Astyanax mexicanus: one gene and its partners. The protein of the gene in region 2 interacts with the protein of the main gene of each other region in a pairwise test. Links are inferred from orthologs where the notes say so. Each region holds a gene or a part of one and is shown on either strand. Other genes may lie near its edges.

Region 1 (6,971 bases), on a different chromosome or scaffold from region 2:
AAGTTTGGGAAACAATTAAGCCTTGCTTGTCGAAAATGAATTTCCCCACATTTGCAGAATGTCTGCAAAATGTCTTCTTTATAACTCCTTTATAACTATATCACCCATATTTTTTATTATTATTATTTATTTCAAGCGTAATCCTGTGTAATAATTTCCAGTATTGTGCACAATGAATTTGCCAGTGTCAACACTTTTAGTGTAAAAAAATAAAATAAAAAACTTGCAGTGTTAATTTAACTCTAAAAGTGTTTTTAACACTGGCAAATTTACTGTGTGGCTTTTAGAGGCAGAAAAAAAACATTTCATATATATTTAGCACCAATCAACAAACCACTAAACATAATATTAATTTGTTTATATTAGGGTTTGTATAATGTTAATTTATTATAGGTTAAGCACGTAATAAAAAAAAAGTAATCAAATCTTAGCAAAGTAAAGCAAATGTAGGATGTGTATGTGCCAAATGGAATCTAATATATGGATACATATATTTAATATATCGTTGCTTTTAAACTAATTTGAGCTAATCTCATTTTAATAACCTTTTAAGTTTAACAGGGAAGAAAACCATAGGTTTTGAAACTTTCAATCAGTTGAATCTCGAATTTTTGCATTGTGACTGAATGTCACAGGACAAAAAAAAAAACACAGTATATTGTCTTAATACATTTTCCATGTCCCCTGTAAGTCAGGGAATACTGCGATGACACATGTGTGGATATATGTGTGTGGTTGCACAGTTAAATATTGATTACAGTCATTCATGGTATGTAATTACATGTGTGCATCAGTGTCAGTTAAACATAGCAGAACATTCTGTCCATCTTACCATGATTAAATCTGAATTATGATTTTTAGTAATAAAAACAATGAGGACCCTAATTCTATACCAGACAAGAGCTGTTAAAGAAACAGACATTTTACACAACTAATTACACACACTATGTTACATGTAAAAAAGCACACACACACACACACACTATGTTACATGTAAAAAATCACACACACACCCACACACACACACACAGACACACTATACTACATGTAAAAACACACACACACACTATACTACATGTAAAAAACACACACACAAACTATATTACATGTAACAATTCACACATACTATATTACATGTACAAATTCATAAACACACTATATAATGTAAACAAATTACACTATTAAATACAAGTCAAGTGTTGATGTGTGTAATGTAATTGATTTGTATCTGTACTGTACTTCCCCCATAGATACACTGTTTCTTACACGCATTGTTAGTGTTACTAAACAGTTATTACATGTATTAAAAGCTGTGACTAAGAAAAAAATATGATTTGCATAGAAATTAGTTTTTTTAAATTTTGTTTTTGCAATGTGATTACTTTTCAGCAGTGACACATATGCTGAGGCAAGATAAAGTCTCAAACCAATGCTTTTTAATGCTCCAGTGTGTTTACAAGGAAATAAAAGTCTGTAGGGATTTGTGGAGTGTGTCTGGCCATTTCTTATTATGTGTTCTTGTTTTTGCATGACATCATATTTTCTTCTCAAGTTGCATTTCAAATCTAAGGAATATGTTTACCAAGAACCATTAAAGTTCCTGGACGAGTTTTACTTCTTTAAATACAGAGAATTCATCATCTGGTGACTTGCTGATGAGAACAAATGCAAACACCCAGCATTCATTGCCAATTCAGCACTAATGCAAATGCTCACTTAATGTGTTTGAGAGCATCAGTTGTGTAGTCAAGTGGTAGAGTCGGTATACAGTGAATAGCCCCGTATGAGTAATGTTATAATCCATATAATATCAATAACTACTAATAACTAAAGACAATAAAAATTGTGTAATTGAAAAGACAATCAAATGTTATGATGAAACTGGCTCTCATTAGGACTGCCCCAGGAAAGGAAGACCAGGAGTTACCTCTGTTGAACAGGATAAGTTTATCAGAAACCACAAGTTAACAGCCCTCCAGATAAAAGCTATACTTTTACATTTACTACATGATTCCTTTTGTATTCCTTCTAAGTTGGATAACTTGAGTATTAATTTACAAAGTAGGAAAACTTTTAACTGGTACTGGAGTTGCAAGAGGTTCCAGTCTCCAGCAGGTGAACTGAATCAGAGTCACCTGAAGTAACCTGATTATTAATGCTCTATCTTTCATATTCATTTACATATAATTTGGCATTAAATCGGAATTTACTTGAGGAGGAGCATGAATATGAAAATGCAGGCTCATGCAGAGTTGAAGAAACATCTAAACATCTGGAGGCTTGAATTAATTCATTTTAAGAGGTCATCTGTGTTCAGCAGGACTTCAGAGACCAGTGTAGACAGACCCTAAAGCCCACAACTGTGGACTGATGCTGGATCAGTACTAAACAGAAGATTAGCACCAGGACTACAACCTTTAAATTCTTGGAGCAGAGAGACAGCTTATGCATCATTAATGGCATTAATAATAAAAGATGGCATCAAACGCGTAGTGTCTACTACTGCTACTACTGCACACACACACACACATTGACGCACTCACACATACGTAGGCTACAGTAGGCACGAGGTGCAACAGCTGGGTTAGTAGCGTAGCGTAGTGCACGCTCACTCACCCACAACAACAAACAACACCAGCAATGAACAAAACGCTACAACACAACAGGGGCGCGCGCGCGCGCGTTTCCATGCATGCGTACGTAACGTAACCAAAGCTCGCCTACCTCACACGCGCGCACGGACGGACGATCCTCCGCTCGCTCCAGCGTAGACGCGCGTAGAGGCTCGCGCTGCCGTTTCACCGAAAGTTGAGCGAGCGCAGCGTGGAGCTCCCCTCGCGCGCTTCTCCCAGCTGCTGTCGTGAAAATAAAAAAGGCGCCTGCTGGAGAGCTGGTCGCTCTGCTTTCTCTCTCGCGCTCTCACTGGCCCCCGTGCGCGCGTGCTCGGCTGTGGACCATATTCCCCCTCCGACAGGCTCCTAGAGTAACACACACTCCCCGAGGACACGTGACCATCCCACGGGAAGAGCTTTCACCCAGCTCTCTTCTGTATACACACACACGCATACACATGCGCGAAACTCACGCGCGCGCGCGCACGCACACACACACATTTGCACCGACTCCCACTCAAACACTGGAGCATGACCAGCAAGAGTGTGGTATTGTGGCTACATGCTGATGCTGATTCTTTACTGGGATGTGAAGGCAGCACTGGGCTGTGTTTATCTGTGTGTGTGTGTGTGTGTGTGTGTGTGTGTGTGTGTGTTCAGTGGCCTATGCCACTAGAGACCCAGGAGTCAAACCACTGGCATTCTTGTTACACAGACCATTAGCAAGCAGCCAGTTTAGGATGACTGCTCTCCACTGGTAGCAGGTTTTGCAAGCTCTAAACCTGTTTTTGATGGTGAAGGTGACTGAAAGCGTTTTTCCAGGCAAAACATATCTTATGCTGTTAGGTTTTAGTGGGTTAACCAGCTCCTGACCATCATAGTTCATGTTTCATTTGATTCTGGGAGGTCTACTGGTCATGTTGGTTGATCAGCTTGGTAATTTGGTTTAAAAAGCTTGGTAATGCTGGTCTTGTTGGTATACTATCTTGGTTTTGTTGGCAATGCTGGTCTACTAGTTAGGTCATCAGTCATCTTGGTCTGTTAGCATGGTGATACTTGGTGTTACTGATCGACCAGCTTTTTTTAGTTGGTCATGTTGGTCAACTAGATTGGTTGAGATGGTCAAGATGGTCAACCAGCTTGGTTATGTTGGTTAACCAGTTTGGTATTGGTGGTCGTGTTTATCAAGCAGCTTGGTCTTGGCGGTCATGTTGGTCAACTAGCTTGGTCATGCTGGTTATGCTGGTCAACCACATTGGTCTTGGTGGTCATGTTGATCAACCAACATTTTCATGTTGGTCGTGCTGGTCGACCATCTTTTTAAAATGCTGGTTATGTTGATCACCCAGCTTTTGCATGTTGGTAATTATGGTCGACCAGTTTGGTGTTGCTGGTCATGTTGGTCAACCACCTTTGTCTTGGTGGTCATGTTGGTCACCCAGCTTGGTTATGGTGGTCATGTTGGTCAACCACATTGGTCTTGCTGGTCAACCCACTTGGTCATGCAGGTCAACAGCATTTTTAATAGAGATTTTCTACTGAAAGGAAAATATGGTCTATAGGTTAAGTCCTTGTCCAGCATACAGATCCATGGTGTTTAGAAAGGAAAACAATTGAAGGGTTTAAACTAAACTAGTGATTCCCTATTAAAGTACATTTAAGTACATACATATATTACATTATTACAATGTAAAAAAAAACACAATACAGAAAATCTAATATAATTGACTTGTATTGTACAAACTATTGCCTATAAACAATTGTGTACAATAAAATAGTATCTATATTCAAAATTATATAGGATTGTATTGGCCCACTACAGTGTAAACAGCAAGAAAACTAATGACTGATTGGTTTTGCTGTAAAACACTCAGCACAGGCTGAAGTCACATGGATCAGGAATGAGCACCACATTCCTGCACTAGACCACATTGGACCCCGTCCACTACAAGCAGATTTTAAAGTGGAAAATCTCTCCTTGGAACTTTTTCATGGAGAGAGAGAGAGAGAACTCCCTGTTTCTCCATAATATAAGCACTCAGAGAGAACAAATGTTGCACAAGTAGGTATTTAACACAACTTTAACTTCAGAAATCTCCACATAAATAACTTGTGCAACCATTTGTCTCCTTGGAATGCATAACGTGGGCATGAAAGCCCTTTGAAAGCGAATTAGTTCCAGAGTGTAAAATGCACCAGGATCAGAATCACTGGCTGACACTGTGCTGGCTGTTTGTGAAACTCTAGTGCAGCTGAGGGAGTAAATTCTGACTGCATGCAAAATTTGGAATGGCAATTACTGTGGGCGGAAGATTCCAGCCCGAGTAACTTCACGCTCTGTACTGTGCATTAAAGATAATACCCTCAGTGATGGAGCACTCTTCTTCACTGAGTCTAATATTGTGCTTAATCTATACTACAGCTTCCGGCACTCTATAAAACCCTGCACGCCACTGATCACATTAGCATTCACGTTCAATATCGCTGATAATTCCCACATCGGCTGATTACACACACGCATGCATCTGCAGTGTAAAGTAAACAGATGAGATGTAAAAATAAAGTCCAAGTCAAATGAAAGGGCAAGAGGGGCTTAAAGAGCTAAAAGGCTGGAATCCCTTGAGAGGCATCTGCATGAGATAAATTCTCATTCCTCCTGTCTCTGGGGACCTTCAAGGACTTGAGTAATAGGCTCTGAATATACTATAGAGATGCTTTGATGCATGTGGGCCTCAATCTTAATCACTCTAAAAATGATACTCTATTACTTGCCTGAGAAAATCATTGATAGAGTAATTATTACTTCATGAAGTGATGATAAGCTAATCATTTACAATATGATAATACAAATTGAACCTGTCTTTTTTACAGTATAATATTATGAGATTGTGATATACTATTAGGATTGATTGCAAGAGTTTGGCAAAGTACTATAAATCATACAAAAACACATATTTTTTTTCCCCTTTTTAACTACTTAATAAAAGTCAAAAAGTAGTGTCTAAGTACTTACCACTGAATAACTTATAGAATTGCTGTAAAAAATGTACTAGGAACTATGAACTAGTCCCAGGACTTTTGCCATGTCACATGGAAGCTTAAGAACCCTGCACTGACCTGTGGGAAAAAAGATATGTTGACTCAACAAGCCAGATGCTTTTACCTAAATCAGTAGAAGATGAGCCTTTTATCCTTACTTAATTGAAATACGTATATACAACTGTTTTTATTTTCTTAACTCATATAAATACACTTTATGTTGACTAAAAACCAAAGTGCCCACTAATGCACTAATGAAATCAACTACCTTTAATCAATATCAGCACATTTTTTAATTGTAATTATTTAGAGGTGGTAGCCAATGGGGAAATGACTACAAATTGACGGTGGGTGTCATTGACAAGAGGTTTCAGTTGTTAATAGTCTTAGAGACTAATTAACTCACCACATTAAATAAAATCATACAAAATCTCTTTTTTTGTGAATTAGAGTGGTGTTAACATACAGAATAAATTTTACTTGAAATTAAATTTGTTTGAAATTGTAATTTAGAGTCTATACTAAGCCAGAAGTACAGTACATCCTAACTAAATTGCTAAAGTTTAAGTTTGGAAATCAAAAATATTTAGGTTCATGTGGGGGATAGTAGAGAAAAGGGGGAAAAAATAATAATACATAGAAAAAAGAGAATTAATAATAATAATAATAATAATAATAATAATAATAACTGAACAATTTGTAAACTACAAGAGAAAAAGGAAAGGGGGAGGGAAAAGAAAAAAAAACGGATTATAGCAAACAAGATACAAATATTAGGAAACAACAACAAATAGATCTGAATATTTACAGAAAAAGAATGGAGAAATAGAAAAGGAAGATATATATATATTTTTTTTTCTTGTTTGATGTTATGTGGTAATAGATAGAGAGAGTAGAGAGAAAAGAGACAGAGAGAGAGAGGTAGGTATCTGCCCTAAGTGTGTGTGTGTGTGTGTGTGTGTGTGTGTGTGTCTGTGTATGTGTGTGTGAGCGAGTACAGGAACATTCGGGTACAGGTGTTAGATTTAAGGTTATTGTTAAAACGGTTGTATTAGTGGTGTATGAGTGATGTGTGTAGAGAGCTGATGGAGACACTAATGTAAGAGGTTGTTTAATGCTGATGGTTCAACTTACTTTTAAAATAGTTCATGTTGAATCCTTTTAAAAAGGTCAATGCAAAAATCCTGCTTTAAATAAATTAAACTAATCTTTTTTTTGTCAATAAAGTAGTGGATTGAGAAATGTTAAATGCTGGCACAACACACCCAACTTTGATAAGCCACGTCGCCTTGCCATGAGCACGTTGCCCAATATCCAACC
Region 2 (7,808 bases):
GCAACCAGATTTTATAAAAAAAAACATGCCGTATGAAACTTATGAAGAAAACATGTAGTCATTTACTGGCCAATACATATTTGGTAGCGCATAAGACTACTTTACATTAAATAGTTGTCATGCTTATTTCCCTGTTGTATTAAGATAGAATTTTCGAACATTTTTTCTGTTACCATATATCTGCAGGTATTGGAAATTATTTGCAGCCTGAGCATCAAGGTCTACAAACACTGAAAACACACTTGCATAGGTCATGTTTTATGTAAGACGACAATCAAAAATATTTAAAAAAATGGGAAAGCTTATTTTATGCTACATAAGTATTAAATAAACAAAATAATAAAATCACAACTTTTAGTCTGGCCTATTAAACTTGAAAAAAATGGCATCCAGCTCCTGTAGCTCATTTGCATGCATCATAGTCAGACGACAATAATTTCTGCATTACGTTCATCAATCTATGCACACTAGTAGAGTTTTAACCTGCATGATTACAGGTCAAAATGTGATGCAAAATATTTTAAGGGTACAGTGTAAATGCCCTTGATAAATCGGTGTCATCACACAAATTCAACATAACCTCATCTGCATTAATTACTAAAGATAACGCAAAAAAAGAGACAGATATCACTATCATACAGCCGCACTGCTCATCCCCACAACACTGATGAATAAATGAATTTGGTGGTTGGCAGGTTCCTGTTCCTTTATTCAAAATACCCTCAAGAGAGGAAAATTCCTGAAATATTTCAGATAGTCCATGGACAAAACCATGCAGAGAAAACACAGACAAGAGAGGGGCTCCCAATCCCAGTCTCACGCTTAAGGTCTTCATGTTCCCAGCCCTCCCACACCCACACCAACAGACCACAATACTGGTGATGCTCAGTGCATACACAATATCCAATTACTGCTACAAGAGCATGGGGACTGAACAAAGAGCATACAATAAAATAAGAGGAACATGCAGATAGCAAAGTAGATATTTTTAATTAACAGACACTTTAGGATTTTTTTTGTGACCTGTTTGCCATGACTTAAAACATAAAACTCATGTGTCAGGACACTATTTAAGACTAAGTCAATTCACTTGACTGTTGTTGGTACTTTAATCCATTACATTTTAATTAATTTCATTTTCATATTGTTCATACACGTCACACTGCAGATTGTACGATGCATCTGCTTATACTGTTGACAGCGAAATCACACAATCATACTTGCCCTTTAGACAATCTGCAACTCTTTTTTAGCTTTTACCTATGCAAAAATGTTATAATATCACGGTTTTTATTTTGTAACTGTGTGTAACTGCGCCATTTCTGTAGTTATCAGGGTCTATTGCAATATTTGAACTGCCTCTGTAATAAGGCTAACAAAGTGATACTAGCTATTTAACTAGCTTATCAGTCTAATCATCCAGTTAACCTTCATGCATAAAATGTGTTGCATCTGTTCTGAAGCGTGATATCATTGTGTTATTTTTGAAGTTATGTTAAAAAAAATCAGATAGATCAGATTATGAGAAAACCTGTTTTGGAGGCTTGTGGAAATGAAGGTGCGGCACAGGAACATCAGGCCTGCTGACACTGAGCTAGCAGCTCATGGGTGTAAGGACCAGGCCAACACTAGCATCAGGACACGCCTTTATACCAATACAGACTTATTGATTATATTATAGCATTAAAAACATTAAGAATAAATGTGGAGCGGTGTTGAGCTGGTGGTGATCTTTCTCTCCAAGAGACAAATCTGAAACGAGGCACCCCATCTGACGGGTTTTTATAAACCAGCCATTAGAGGCTTGTCTGCAGAGGCTCGTAGAGCGGTCAATAGCCACGAGCTCGATCTGAATATTAATGTAATATTTCACTTAGTTAGCTACCTATAGCTTAGCTAATTAATCTAATGCTGTGGTGATTCTCAACTTGCTGTTAGCTACTGAAATAACGAAGGCGCTGTGCTTTTATATTCGCTCAGACATAACTAGCTAGCTAGTTAGCTTGGCTAGCTAGCTACATTACAAGGCACCTACAATGACATTCGGCTACTTTTAGTTTCGAGCTAGCGTTAGGTTAGCTAAGCTAGCTAAGGCCTAGCGCGGAAAAAGCTGCATAGCTACTAAAACTGGCTAGCTAGCTGACTATGCTAAGATAAGCTAAGCTAGGTCTACAGAGCGGGCGGTACACGAAGCGGGGTTTAACTACTAGCGATTACTTTCATTTAAGAGGCCGTGGCTCATTTACTGTGTGTTCATATGCGACCTTATTGCACATTAAAGCACCCTTGTGCTAAGATTATTAACTCTAAGTTATCAAACTAAGATTATGATTAGCTAACTAAGTATATTACTGCCCTGTTAGCCACACAGCTAGCGTTAGCTAGGCTTCAATCGATGAATGGCAGCAGTCAGTTAGCTAACCTATCTTAGATAGCTAATGCTAACTTAGCCAGTTAGCTAGCTAGCTAGCCTGACCGTCAGTTTTAAGTTAGCAAGCTACCTTGCTTATTCGCTCTCTCAAACCCCGGTAATCTGCTCGCTACCGTCGCGTTTAGCTGATATTTTAAACGTTTATGCACACGAGACGAGCCTCCGCCATTTTCGCTGCTCCCAGCCCGCCGTGCGTGTATTTTTAACCCACCCATATTCGGGTGAAGCGGAGAGGTGAACGGAAGTGTCTGGCTAACAAACACTAGCAGCAGGCGCAAACAACGCCAGCCAGCCCAGCCGCCCGCCTGCTCGCTCTCAGCCGCACCGCGTTGCGCTGCGCCCCGCGGCCGTGTCGGACTCGCCCGGCTTCCCGATTCAAGAAGCAGGAACGAGCTACTCGCAGAAAATCCGCCTCACAGTTACCTTGATGATCCTGCGGGGCAATCCTGCCATCTTGTCTTGAATGCGGGTTTTTTAGCTTCGTCTCTCGGTGCCTCTTCCTCTCAGAGACGCAGTGAACACGCCCCCCAGCGCTGCGTCACTCTCCAGCACTCCGCCGCCGCCGCACACCCGGCTCACCCTGGAACATGTAGTTTTACCCACCCGCTCAGTCCAGCGCCATTTGACTCCTTCATTCCGCCTGAAAACACGCACACGTTTCAGTCCTGCAGAGACCAGCACGCATTTAACGACGTCTCAGCGTCAAACAGTCAATTACAGTCTGTACTATTGTTTAAGGCTTTAGTCACTTTATATATAATGGAGAGAGCACAAGACCCATCCAATAAAAGTAAAAAAAATACAGTAGCATGAAAAAAGAATTCTGACCCCCCCCCCTTTTGTTTTTGCCTTTTTGTCATTCTGATATGTTTCTGATTATCAAACAAATCAGACATAGATAAACTGAGTAAATATAAAAAGGCAATTTTAAATGATAATTTTATTTATTAAATGTCTTATTCCATCGTTTTTAGTTCATTTTAAAATGTCTATTATGAGTGAAAGCCATGTGAGCCGTTTAAAAAAAACTAAAAAAAACTAAAAAAAAACGGAGCGCTCTAGTGTTTCTGTTTAACTGAACTAAGTTGGTCTCTAAACAAAGACAGGATTTCGGCTCTTGCTCATGAATATTCACACATGCAAACATATAGCTTCTGATTAGCTAACAGCACTGCAGCAGAAATCGCCTACCTGCCTTACCCTCACAAAGATAGATTGCCAGGTAAAGTTAACCCTTAAACTTCGGCTAACCTCAGACTCTCAGCGTAGGCCACATAGGCGAGCAGCCCCGCGGCCAAAAGAAACGCTATCAAGAGCGGAGGCTGCCCATCACCCATCACCAACCAGCACACCCCACCAATGCCCAAGCATCTCTAAGCCCCCCACACCACACCACACCCCAACCCCCCCCCCCCCCCCCTCCCCCAGTAGAAACAGTTTCTTCAACAATCCTGCTAAAACATTCAGCTCAAGACCAGCTGGGCATTCAGATAAAAACATACCCTATGCTGGCAGACTAGCTTAAAAATAGCTCTTGACATCCCCTTCTACAATACTTGGAAAGTAGCAAAAAAAATGGAAATGTGACATAATCGGCAGGGAGGGTGTGTTTATTGTTTGTGAGATATTACATATTTGTGTTGAATACATTTATACTCCTGCTTAATAAACAAATGTTAAAAGAAAAAAGTAACTCCTGACTAACACAGAATATGTCTTTTTTTCTGGATGACCAGCTGTTCTTGAGCTGGAATTTTGGCATAAAAAAAAAAGAAAAAGCAGATATCTCATTACTTTAGTCCATATAAAGTTTTTTTATTTTTATAAAATAAAATATTTTTTTACTGAAAACCACACTGTAAACTAGTTTTAATTTAGCTGTTCATATTGCTATACTTTATTAATCCCAGGGAGATTTGCCCGCAACTTTTTCCTCCTCATTTTTTAAAGTGAAATAATACACAAAGAGGACAAAACAATTAGGATTACACATATGGCCCAGCCCATTCCCTACCCCATACTCTAATCACTCAATACATCTCAAAGTCTGTCCATTTGCAGGAATTTCTATATTGCTAAATTAGTTCTCATTTCTAACTCTTCTATGTTGCTATGGCTACTAATGATGCAATTAACAACTGAATAACATCCACTTCCACAATCAATTCTAAATGTTCTATGTTGCTGTGGCTGTTTATTACCTAATCAGCAACTCAATTAGCATTCTTCCAATTTATTTTATAGTTATAACTAACATTTTAAATTACATGATTGTGTACAGCAGTTTAAATTGTTTCAGACATGTAACAGACATGATGAGAATCTGTTAAAGTAAAATCTTTTTAGATTGATTTCCTCTGAAAGTTAAATGTTGTTATTCCTTTTCCCGTAAAGATGTTAACTCGGCACAGATGTGTATAATTCTATATTGAGGAACTTTTGGAATGTGTCACCAGATCAAAATCAAATCATGTTACAGTCCGGGTCAAATGAGGAAACGTCATGAAGTACTCAGCTGATGTAACAAAGTTAAACATGTTTTTTTAAAGGTGGCCTGAGATCTGCATGACCTCAGAACAAAAAATGAGCATAGAGTCTTCTAAACTCTTATAATTTTCTATTTTTTTTTATTTGTGGTTCAAAAGTGAGAGACTGAGGTAGTGCTGTGTGTGTGTGTGTGTGTGTGTGTGTGTGTGTGAGTGTGTGTGCGTGTGTGTGTGTGTGTGAGTGAGTGAATGAAAGAGAAATCTTTTGGAGGGAGGGGGCACTGGATCTTGGATGAGCTGGTCCTGCGCAGGAGGATTAAAATAGTTGGTTATCAGTGCTGTGGCTGCTGAGTGTTGGAAAGGCTCGCAGGAGGAGAGGAACACAGCTGGTGAGAGACATGAACTCTCTGCAACTGCCTAGAACAGGTATGTAGAACAGGAATCACCACTTCTGCTGCTGCTGCTGCTGCTAAAAAAAGGAAATAATAGGTAGAACAACAGATTCAAATCAGCGTGTTAACTTGTATTTTGTCACCTTAGATGAAAAAGTGTCGAACAGTTGAGTAATCAGACGTTCTAGGCCACAGTTAGTTCATGCAATGCTTTTGCTTTTTGGGTTTATTGCTGAGAACACGGTCAACTGATGCAGAGAAAAACTTTCTGAATAGAAAATGTTGACTGAGAAGACCTAATGCAAACATTATAATAGCAGTTTCTCATAAAGAACTGATTTAACAATACTGAACAAACAAAAGAGGACAAAAACGTGAAACATAATTAATATAAATACAAATTATTTATGTTGTAAAAGGTATTACACCCCACATTTTTTTTAAATAGCTAGAATGACTATAATGGTTAGAACAAGACTAGAGGGGAGCCTGTCATATTTAAACCCCATAAACATATTGAATTTAATTTGTTGGTTCTTGACTAGTGTGTTGATGTGAGTAGTATCACCATTACCAGATCCAAAGAGCTCTCTGAGACATTCAGATAGAGGGTTGTAGGTACATTTGAGTCTGGAAAGGTATTTGTTTATGTGTGTATTTTCTCAAAATGTATTTACAACAAATCAACACATTAACCCATAAAACCATTGGCTTATTACTTGTTAATTACTTGTTACTTGTACATTACTTATTACTTGTTAATCTTCATGCAAAAGCTATGAAATATGTGATTTTAATTTTCTGATGGTATCATAACTCCTTGTGGAGTCACACCAGTTTCTATTTCAGGGTTTATAAAACTGAAATTCAAGTTGTTTGATACAGAAACTAAAGAACAGTGAGCTACATAATCTATACGATTATATTGAACTAATTTATTGGATATTATATCCAGATTGCACATCACATAAGTCTCTCTGATGTACATTGATGTAATTACATTTAGTTATTTTATATTTAGCATCATAATCTGATGCACATTTTAATTTCATGAATAAATCATCAGCATTGCGTAATGACTTTGTCACTATTGCACTTAGATTTATTTGTTCAGGTCAGTCTGGTCTTACACTCCAACCACAATCTATACAATTCATTACAATTCATCACTCCTTTTCCATAAACCGACCCTCAGAACATCTTCTTCTGACCTTCATGTATTACTTTCAAACAGGATCTTTACTTATCAGCAAAGGGAGGGAAAAAATGCTATCTCATGGCCCACATCATCCTCTCCCAAATATGCCATTGTTCCAGGACACAGGAGCAGATGAACCAGGGCCTAATCTATAGCCTTCTGCCTGTGCACAGAGTGAACAGACAATACCAGCTGAATTAGAGGCGTTACTGCTTTGACTGAGCACTTGATATGAAAGGCAGAATGTAGTCTGACAAGGCTAAACCAGACTTCCTAACCCGTCCGAATGGCATTTCAACCACTTCAGTGCTTCGCCAGTAGATGGAGGTTAAGGCCCTTGAGATCCTGTTTTTCCACCTTTAAATATGCATAAAAAGTAAACTCATTAGTTTACATTGGAGCAGTGTTTATATGGAGTCAAATGAGGGTGATAAATAATCGAGCATCTGCAGTTGTATATTACCTTTTATGTGCATGTGCATTTGCAGCTGTGTATGCGTGAAATAGTTTTGTGCAGGTGTGTAAAAGATTTTGTTGATGCAGAATTTTTTTGCGAGTGTAATTAAAATATTTGGCATATTTTAAACAGTGAGTTGAATGTGTTACTGATTAGTACAACAAGCCACTGCAGTGTTGTGTTTGATTATAGAATGTTTGTGTCTATGTCTTATATTTGTCTTTTTACACATAATGATATAATATCTGGGTGCGCAAACTTTTTTCACACTTGCTTAAAAAATTTCTACAGGTATAAATAATTTTGTGTAGACATTCCTGCTCTTACATTCTACAAACTAACATGTTAGGATGCTTGGTTATTGTTTTTTAGTCAATGCAATATGACTACAGAGACATTTTAGAAAGTTTGAATGCATTGCTGTGTATTGGAAAGCCAATAAAACAATTTTTAATAATTATACTACTGCATTTATGATGTAGAGTCTGAACGGAGTAAATACACAAATTGTAAATATGAATTTCATAATTTGTTTTATAAATTTGCACCACCTTCAGATGTTTTGTGTACACAATTTAATAAATCACTACAGCTTATCTTAATTAATTATCTTAATAATAAATGAATTAATGATTTTTTTTTTCATAAATGTAAAAAAGTAAATTTTTTACATTTTGTTTTTCTTAACATTTTTACTTGATTTGAACATGGATTTTTTTTTCTCTACATTGTCTTCAAACTCTAGGATAAATTAACTCTTGACTTCTATTAAAGATTTGTTTTTTTATCTTTGTTTTTGTTATGATTTGCAGCCCTGTATTCAAAGAAATATATTGTCTCAGTT
Region 3 (7,348 bases), on a different chromosome or scaffold from region 2:
GATACATCAGCTCACAGACGCAGCATTGTGCTGATCCACATCACCCTAGAAGTGATGGGGGGATAGTGATATTCTTTTCATTTAAAAATAAACTACTGCAAAATCTGAACGCAATAAATATGAGTTTTATACATTCATACATTTATACATTCAGTAGAACACAAATAAATAAAAAATCTGTAATTTTTTTGCATAAAAATACAAAGTAATGCAGCAAAAAAAATCTAGTGGATATGAATTGCATATTAAGTGAATAAAAACTTAATTAAAATGGACTGCTTTCAAGAATTTTCGCAATATCACGATACAGAACTTTTTTTATCATGTCATAATTTTTGGTGATATTATTGCATATGATACAGTATTGCACACTCCTAGTACTGACTGTCACGGTATGTTTCTGCTCTAAGAATTTCTCAGTTCCTTTTAGGAGGACGTCGCTCATTCTTTATTTTAAAAGGCTTCTAAATCATTCAGGTTGATAAATTGTATTAAAGTGCTAGTCTGTAATTTTTGTATTAGAATGTGTAATTACACAAACCATGCTAAAAAGTACTTTTAAAACGTGCATTGTGATGCAGTCTTTATTCACCGTGAAATAACCTGGATTTAGTTATTTTAGCGAACTTGTTTATCTCTGATGCTCTCTTCAGTTCCAATTCTGATTTTATTTGGATTACGATGAGTGAATGAACAGACACTAAAGACAAGACTGAGTTTGCAGTTCTGACATCTCCATGTTCACGATAGCTCTTGTGTTAGCACCATTAGCAGCACCATGGTTGCTCAGGTAACCAGCAAAAGCTATTATAGTAAGAAAAAACGGTCCTGATTAAGGATTAATTTAGAGTCATGTTAAAAAAAGAAAGAGGAACTTAACACTGCAGCCCAAACAACAATAACCCAGAGGTTTAACATCCTTTTATTTCAGAGTGTTTAGATTGAAACTGCAAAAACAAATGCAACATTCTGGTATCTTCTGCTTTATGCATTTCCTCGGCTAATCTTTTATTGATTTAGAGCCTCAAATCTGCAGATTGTATCTGTAATCAACTCTGACATGTGCTTCTATGACCTTTGAGCAGAACAGACTCTTTATCTAACACTTTATCTTTATAATCATTATAATCACAATAATCCGTGTGTTCCTGCAGTGCGAGCTAGCTAACCTTATTAGGATCATCATGCTTTGTCTATATTCTGTGTTCTGTGCTAATATCTCAGTGCTCTTATTAGTGTTGCCATAGCTGCCCGACTAATAACAAGCCATGCTTTTGTTCCAATGTAAATCAAACCTTTTCATCAAACACAGGCAATAATATAACAATAAAGACTCTATTAGCTCTATAAACTAACCCATTCAAGCCCAAGAACCACATTTATATTAAATATTACCAAAACATGTAATTGGTGTAAAAGGATGATGACAAATGTTTTGTGATTGCATGTAATTGTATACTTTTTTTTCACATCAGAAATACAGTAGCCATCATTAAACATGTGTGCAGAGTATTTATGACTTGTGCTCGATATTTGTTATGCTAATGTGGATCCAAATAAAACTATAAAAACAATACAAGAATGAAAAAAGTGTGAACTGCAGTAAGTGAAAAAATAGAATAATATAAAATTGTTAAAAAACAAATAATTAGCTATATTGTATGGAAGCCCATTCTGACACTTAAAAAAGGGTCCTCAACCATGTCATAATTATGAGATACAAAGTCATAGTTACAAGACACAAAGTCATAATTTTAAGATACAAAGTCATAATTTTAAGATGCTAAGTCATAATTACAATATACTAAGTCATACTTATGAGATGCTAAGTCATAATTTTGAGGTACTCAGTCATAATTATGAGACACTAACAACATTGAGATACAAAAGTAAAATTTTACATACTAAGTCATAATTTTCAAAACGCATGTCATAATTGAGATAATACATCATAATTATGAGATGTTAAGCCATAATTACGAGATACTATGACTAAATTATAAGTAAATGAGATACTACAGTAAGTTTAATCATAAGATAGTACGTAATAATTATGAGATAATACCCCACAGACCCAATATCTTATAATTATGACTTAGTGGATGTCCCTTATTATTTGTGAAATTAAACCTACAATTTTACCATCTAGAAAAATCTAGTTATTTAGCCTAGCTACTTAACTCACCTCCAAGCAGGTGAGGGGAGAGGTGTGCAGGTAAGGAGCCTATAAGAAGTCTTGGACCGGACTGGTCCTGATCTCTATCCGGGTCTTCTCCGTGTCTCGGAGTCCCGCCGCCGCTGCTCGCTATAACCGCGGACTGGATCAGCGAGCCGGGTCTGCCGTCCGCGCCGTACCGCCCTCCCCGCTGCGCTGCCGGCTGGCTCCCCGCGCCGCCCGCATAGTACCTCAGCACGGCCGCCCTGCCGGAGCTGGCCGCGGTGGAGGAGGGCAGGTCGGAGCCGGAGTAAGCCCGGAGGCGGCCGTTGGCGGCCGGGCTGCTCTGTTTGGGTCCCATGGCGGAGTTTTATCTGTGTAAGTGTGTGTGTATGAGTGTGTGTGTTATCTCCAAGTTTTGTTTTGTTTCGTTTTTGCGCCGCTTTCTTCAGTTCAGCGGCGGCTGGACTGTCATGGCTGGCCGGAGTGTTTTTAGCCGAAGCCCGTTAGCGCTAGTTACTGAGTTCCGTGTTTAGTGAGTGAGATAAGTGAGTTCCGCGGCTCTCCGCTCTCTCCGCGCACTTGTTGCCGCTCCTCAGTCGTTAAACTTTCTTCCTGCAGGCCTCTCCACTCTTCCTGCGCGCTGTCAGCCCCAAACAACGACACAAAACCCCCGAAAACAGCCGCTCCCGCCGCCGCTAAACCAGGCTACATGACCCGCGGCGCTCTGGAGAATCACAGCGACCGTTGGCCTCCGCTAATAACAGCCAACCGAACCGGCTCGTGCAGCAACAGCAGCAGCCAGAGCGAGCCACGAGCGAGCGCGAGCCGCAGATTAGACAGCGCGTGAACGGCGCGCTTAAGCCCCTCCTCCTTTATCAGCTCCGGGTGACGTCAGTGCACTGGTTTGAGCAGCCAGATTTAACTTATATAGCTAAAAGATTATTATATGTTTTGTGAACTGTAATTATAAAAAAATACATTTATAGCTAAAAAAATATTTGGCAAACTAAAATTTTGCATCTGACAGACTACGCTACTTAATTTTTAAAGGGGATGATTGATGAGCCAGGTGTCAAAAGCTGTAATGTTAGTTGAGCAGTCTTATAATGCATCAGGCTTAAGTTTAAATAGGTCAAAATGTGAAATAATAACATTGTCTGGAAAAATATAAATAAACTATATAGCTAAAAATTTTGGCAGATGACACGTCCTTATTTTTAAGGGATGATAACCAGGTGTCAAAAGCTGTGATCTTAGTTGAGCAGTTCTCTTATGCATCAGGCTTAATATTAAATTTATAAACCTTAATGATTCATGCTTATTTTATGGACGTGTTGATGAAACCTTTGTGCACTTGTGAGTCTCTAAATTGTTATTGCTGAAAAGGAGGGAAATCACACCAGATACTAAAAGCAAAGGTTCACATACTTTTTCCACTCCCAAATATGTAATATTGGATGATTTTACTCAATAAATAAATGATCAAGTATAGTATGTTTAACTTTTTAAATGGGTTCTATTGTCTACTTTTAGGACATTAAGGAAAATCTGATGATGTTTTCGGTCATATTTGTACAGAAATATAAAACAATTATAAAGGGTGCACAAACTTTAAAGCACCACCATATAGAAACTGAAATGGAATCAATGACTGTATATAAGCACAATAGCGATCATCTTCACATTTTCATCATAGGCACTCCCTATAGTGAAGAAATTAGTGTTGACATCAGTGTAGAAGTACTTACTGAAACTATAGTGTTATAGAGTGTTGAATTTAGTTCAAAAGTTAGTGTAGAATTATGTATTGAAGCTAGTGTAGAACTGAGTAGAACGTTGAAACTATGAAGCCTTTTAAAATCTACATCTGTGGTCATTGAAGTATTATGTAGAGGTCATACGTAGCCTTATGAACATTGCCATTAAGTAAATGTTTTACCATTTTTCATAGCATTTTATTTACAAAGCAGAAAGTCAGAAAACTCAATGAGCGACAAGGACACACAGGAAGATCATCACCTCCACATGGTTTAATTTAATTTAGGACTTTTACACAAACCAGAGGACAAAAACAAAACGCGTAACAAAGCATGAGGGAAACAATAGTTCCAAACTATAAAATCTTACATCTTTAGGCAAAACCACAACTCATTTAAAAGTGACGTAATAAAAGGAGGTGTTGAAATCAAACGGGGGGAAAAAAAATCAATGCATAAAGCTTACAGCAATCCAGAACAAATTCTAAAGCTGGACAATCAAATAAATATGAATATAGAACAGCAGCTCTGACTAACCTCACGACAGACTTCAGTACATGTGGACCAATTTATCTCTATGCTGGCAGCACACTTAGCTTAGGGAGGAAGACGATATGGAAGCAGTGAGAGTGTATTTGTGTGTGTGTATATATGTGTGTGTGTGTGTGTATATATGTGTGTGTGTGTGGTGGTAGTAGGGGCAGCATTAGGCGGGCACTGAACATATGAGGTCAGCAGAATCCTGTCAACTTCCGTTCCTGCAGCAAGCGCAGTGTAAGCAAGGTGTCCACCAACAGAACGGGACGTACCGGACCAATCCTCGCTCACCTTCTTCACACCAAAAATACAGGCCTTTGCAAGTGCCGAGTCAGACCAGGCTCGGAGCCTGACATCATGAAGTGCTAACTGGTCTAGGATCAGATTCTCCTCAGTCAGCTCTGTTCTCATTTGCTGTAGGATAAGGAGAGGAAATTGTCCCCATACAGAACCCCCTTAACTTTGCAAAATACAGCTTCGCTGGATCACTGGAGGGTTCTGGACTACTTAAGCATGCTTATTGTACTGCATGCACTGAGGAACCAGCTGAGGAAAAGAAACAAGTGCCATTCATAGAGTACACGTTCAAGCATATCCCCTGGCTAACACGTGATGAGCAGAGCAGCATGGAAAAGAATGGAAGAGAAGCTGCTATAGAAACCAGGGCAAATGTCAAAAACTTTATGTAATGCAGAGACCAAGTTGCCAGTTTATTAGGTGCACCGATCTTTATTTTAAATGGTTCTTTTAAAAATGTCTTAGTACTGTTTTAGCTCTGGATCACAATCCTTTACATTTCTAACAATCCTAATAACAATGCAGATTAAGAGTGTCTTCACACCAGCACAATTAGTTCTGGTTAAAGTGGATTCTGAGATCAGTGAAGCTAATGGAGGGGGTCTCGGTCTGGTTCCAAACAAACTCATGAACGGTCCACTTGTGGTAAAAAATCAAGGTCCAGTCTCGATCCGACCAAGTTATCAAATATATTCCTTCTATATTTGAGCTACTCTGCTGATAAGATGCAGTTCAATCTGATATATTAGCTATTAGATAATGATAATTACCACAGCTATGAACAAAAAACACTGTCTCTGCTGCTGCTCCATGCTGTTTACACACTAAGAGCACGGTATGTGCAGCGTTCACTGCTCACATCTGAGCTACACGTCCCATTGAAAACACTTTAAAAGTTTAAAAGTTTTTTTTTTTCAGCGTGCTGTGTTAAAGCAGCTTCACCTCGCACAGATATACACACTGGAACACAGAATCTTCTCATTATATTTACTTTCAGACAATGTGCTCACGTGGTTTATTGTGAGTGAGCATTCTAGTGCGTTTAGGTTTGTGCCTGTGTGAAACCAAACCAAACAGAGGGAGAAACGTTGGCAGAAACGCTCCAAGATGTTTCAAATTGAAATCTGGGTTCCCCATCATATGATCTTTGGGACAATGGAGGCTTAACATTTAGAACACCAGCTTTTTTAATGACTGTGGTGGATTTAATACTCAGGTTGAGCAAGCATAAGCTTTTACCTTAACCCTCACTGTGCCCTGACCGCCCAACACTTCACCAACCTAGCTCCTGGACAATCTGGGCTATTCTCCAGAGGATGTAAGCTCCAGCCACCAATCAATCCCACCTGATCCGTGTAATCACTGCCTCCAAAAGAGCTGGATCAGTTGAATCGGGTGTGTTAGATTTGGGATGGAGGTAGAACCTAAAGGATGGTAGCTCTACAGGAGCAGTGTTGGTCACCCATTTGGTGTTATACAGTTCATTGACTCCCCTCAACTCCATCCATGAACCACTAATACACTGGGACCAACAACCATAGGACCTAATAAACTGGCACCTCTGTAAATTTCAATACAGTTAAAGGCTAGTGAAAAGAGGAGGAACCACAATTACAGCAAGCACTTCTATCCACTTCTATCCAAAATCCAATCACACCATCGTCTCTGCTGTGGGTGCATTGTGTGTTGAGTGTCTCAGGCTAAGACTAAGACTAAGATCTCTAGCATCAACTTTTCCCATTCACACCAGGTCCACGGTTCTGACCTTTGAAACCACCGCAACTGCAACTGACTGGTCTCAGACATTACACCTAGTTACGAGCAATCCATCAGGACTTTCATACATAAGCCCATACATTCAATACGACAATATCTATTCATCAATATCAATCGGTTGTTATGATAAGAGCCTCAATTCAAAGCAATCCATGTTAATGAGCCTTTACCATCTAAGATGAACAGCAGAAATGTCTCACGGGCTATAATAGCCATACGTAAAACAAAAATAAAAAAATGAGGGGAACGTAACTTAAAATAATGAAAGAATAGTTTCCATGTTCTGATATTTAAAAGGGCTTGAGTGGAAAGCGTAATATAAGTGTGCATAATAATGCAATAATATGGATTAAATGCCTTGCTGTTTAAAACAAGGCAGAAAAACGTAAAAAGTGGAAAACATAGCCATCTATATATTAAAGGGCATAATGGTGCAGTTTAGCAGGCTCCTGCTTTTGTGTGAAGGTGTGTGAGGGCGAGAGAAAGAGAGAGAAAAAGAGAGAAAGATAGAGAGAGAGAGAGAACAAGAGAGAGAAGGATATAGTGTTTCATAAAATAGTTTCATAAAAGAGTAGAGTAGTGAACATGGCATGGAGGAATAAGAAAAAAGGGAGGGAAGAAGAAACAGAGGAAAGAGAATCTCTGGCCCATTAAACAACGACCCCCCAACACCGGGCGTTATCGCGGGCCCACAGCCGAGCTGCCTGCCTGGGCATTATTGCTGGCTAACACCCATCTGCTGGTGGTCCGTCTCTGCTTCCTCCTCCACGTCTGCGTGGTACTGCTCATATGTGTCGTCGTCGATGTCCGGAAGACCCAGAAG

What was found.
Region 1: the proteins of ube2na (region 2) and mid2 interact in a two-hybrid assay, tested with the Homo sapiens proteins (2 studies listed by BioGRID). The link is inferred for Astyanax mexicanus from reciprocal best matches to the Homo sapiens genes UBE2N and MID2.
Region 3: the proteins of ube2na (region 2) and znrf2a interact in a two-hybrid assay, tested with the Homo sapiens proteins (4 studies listed by BioGRID). The link is inferred for Astyanax mexicanus from reciprocal best matches to the Homo sapiens genes UBE2N and ZNRF2.

What each region holds. Positions count from the first base shown.
Region 1 is NC_064417.1:41,297,755-41,304,725, reverse strand, and holds the start of mid2 (probable E3 ubiquitin-protein ligase MID2), read right to left. Parts: upstream 3,012-6,971; 5' UTR 2,725-3,011; intron 1-2,724. UniProt on the Homo sapiens protein: E3 ubiquitin ligase that plays a role in microtubule stabilization. Mediates the 'Lys-48'-linked polyubiquitination of LRRK2 to drive its localization to microtubules and its proteasomal degradation in neurons.
Region 2 is NC_064416.1:21,042,067-21,049,874, reverse strand, and holds the start of ube2na (ubiquitin-conjugating enzyme E2Na), read right to left. Parts: upstream 3,012-7,808; 5' UTR 2,885-3,011; coding exon 2,855-2,884; intron 1-2,854. Other genes in the region: c1qtnf13 (complement C1q tumor necrosis factor-related protein 4), read left to right, coding at 5,316-5,343. UniProt on the Homo sapiens protein: The UBE2V1-UBE2N and UBE2V2-UBE2N heterodimers catalyze the synthesis of non-canonical 'Lys-63'-linked polyubiquitin chains. This type of polyubiquitination does not lead to protein degradation by the proteasome.
Region 3 is NC_064410.1:2,591,943-2,599,290, forward strand, and holds the start of znrf2a (E3 ubiquitin-protein ligase znrf2-like), read right to left. Parts: upstream 3,012-7,348; 5' UTR 2,517-3,011; coding exon 2,186-2,516; intron 1-2,185. Other genes in the region: mturn (maturin), read right to left, coding at 7,241-7,348. UniProt on the Homo sapiens protein: E3 ubiquitin-protein ligase that plays a role in the establishment and maintenance of neuronal transmission and plasticity. Ubiquitinates the Na(+)/K(+) ATPase alpha-1 subunit/ATP1A1 and thereby influences its endocytosis and/or degradation.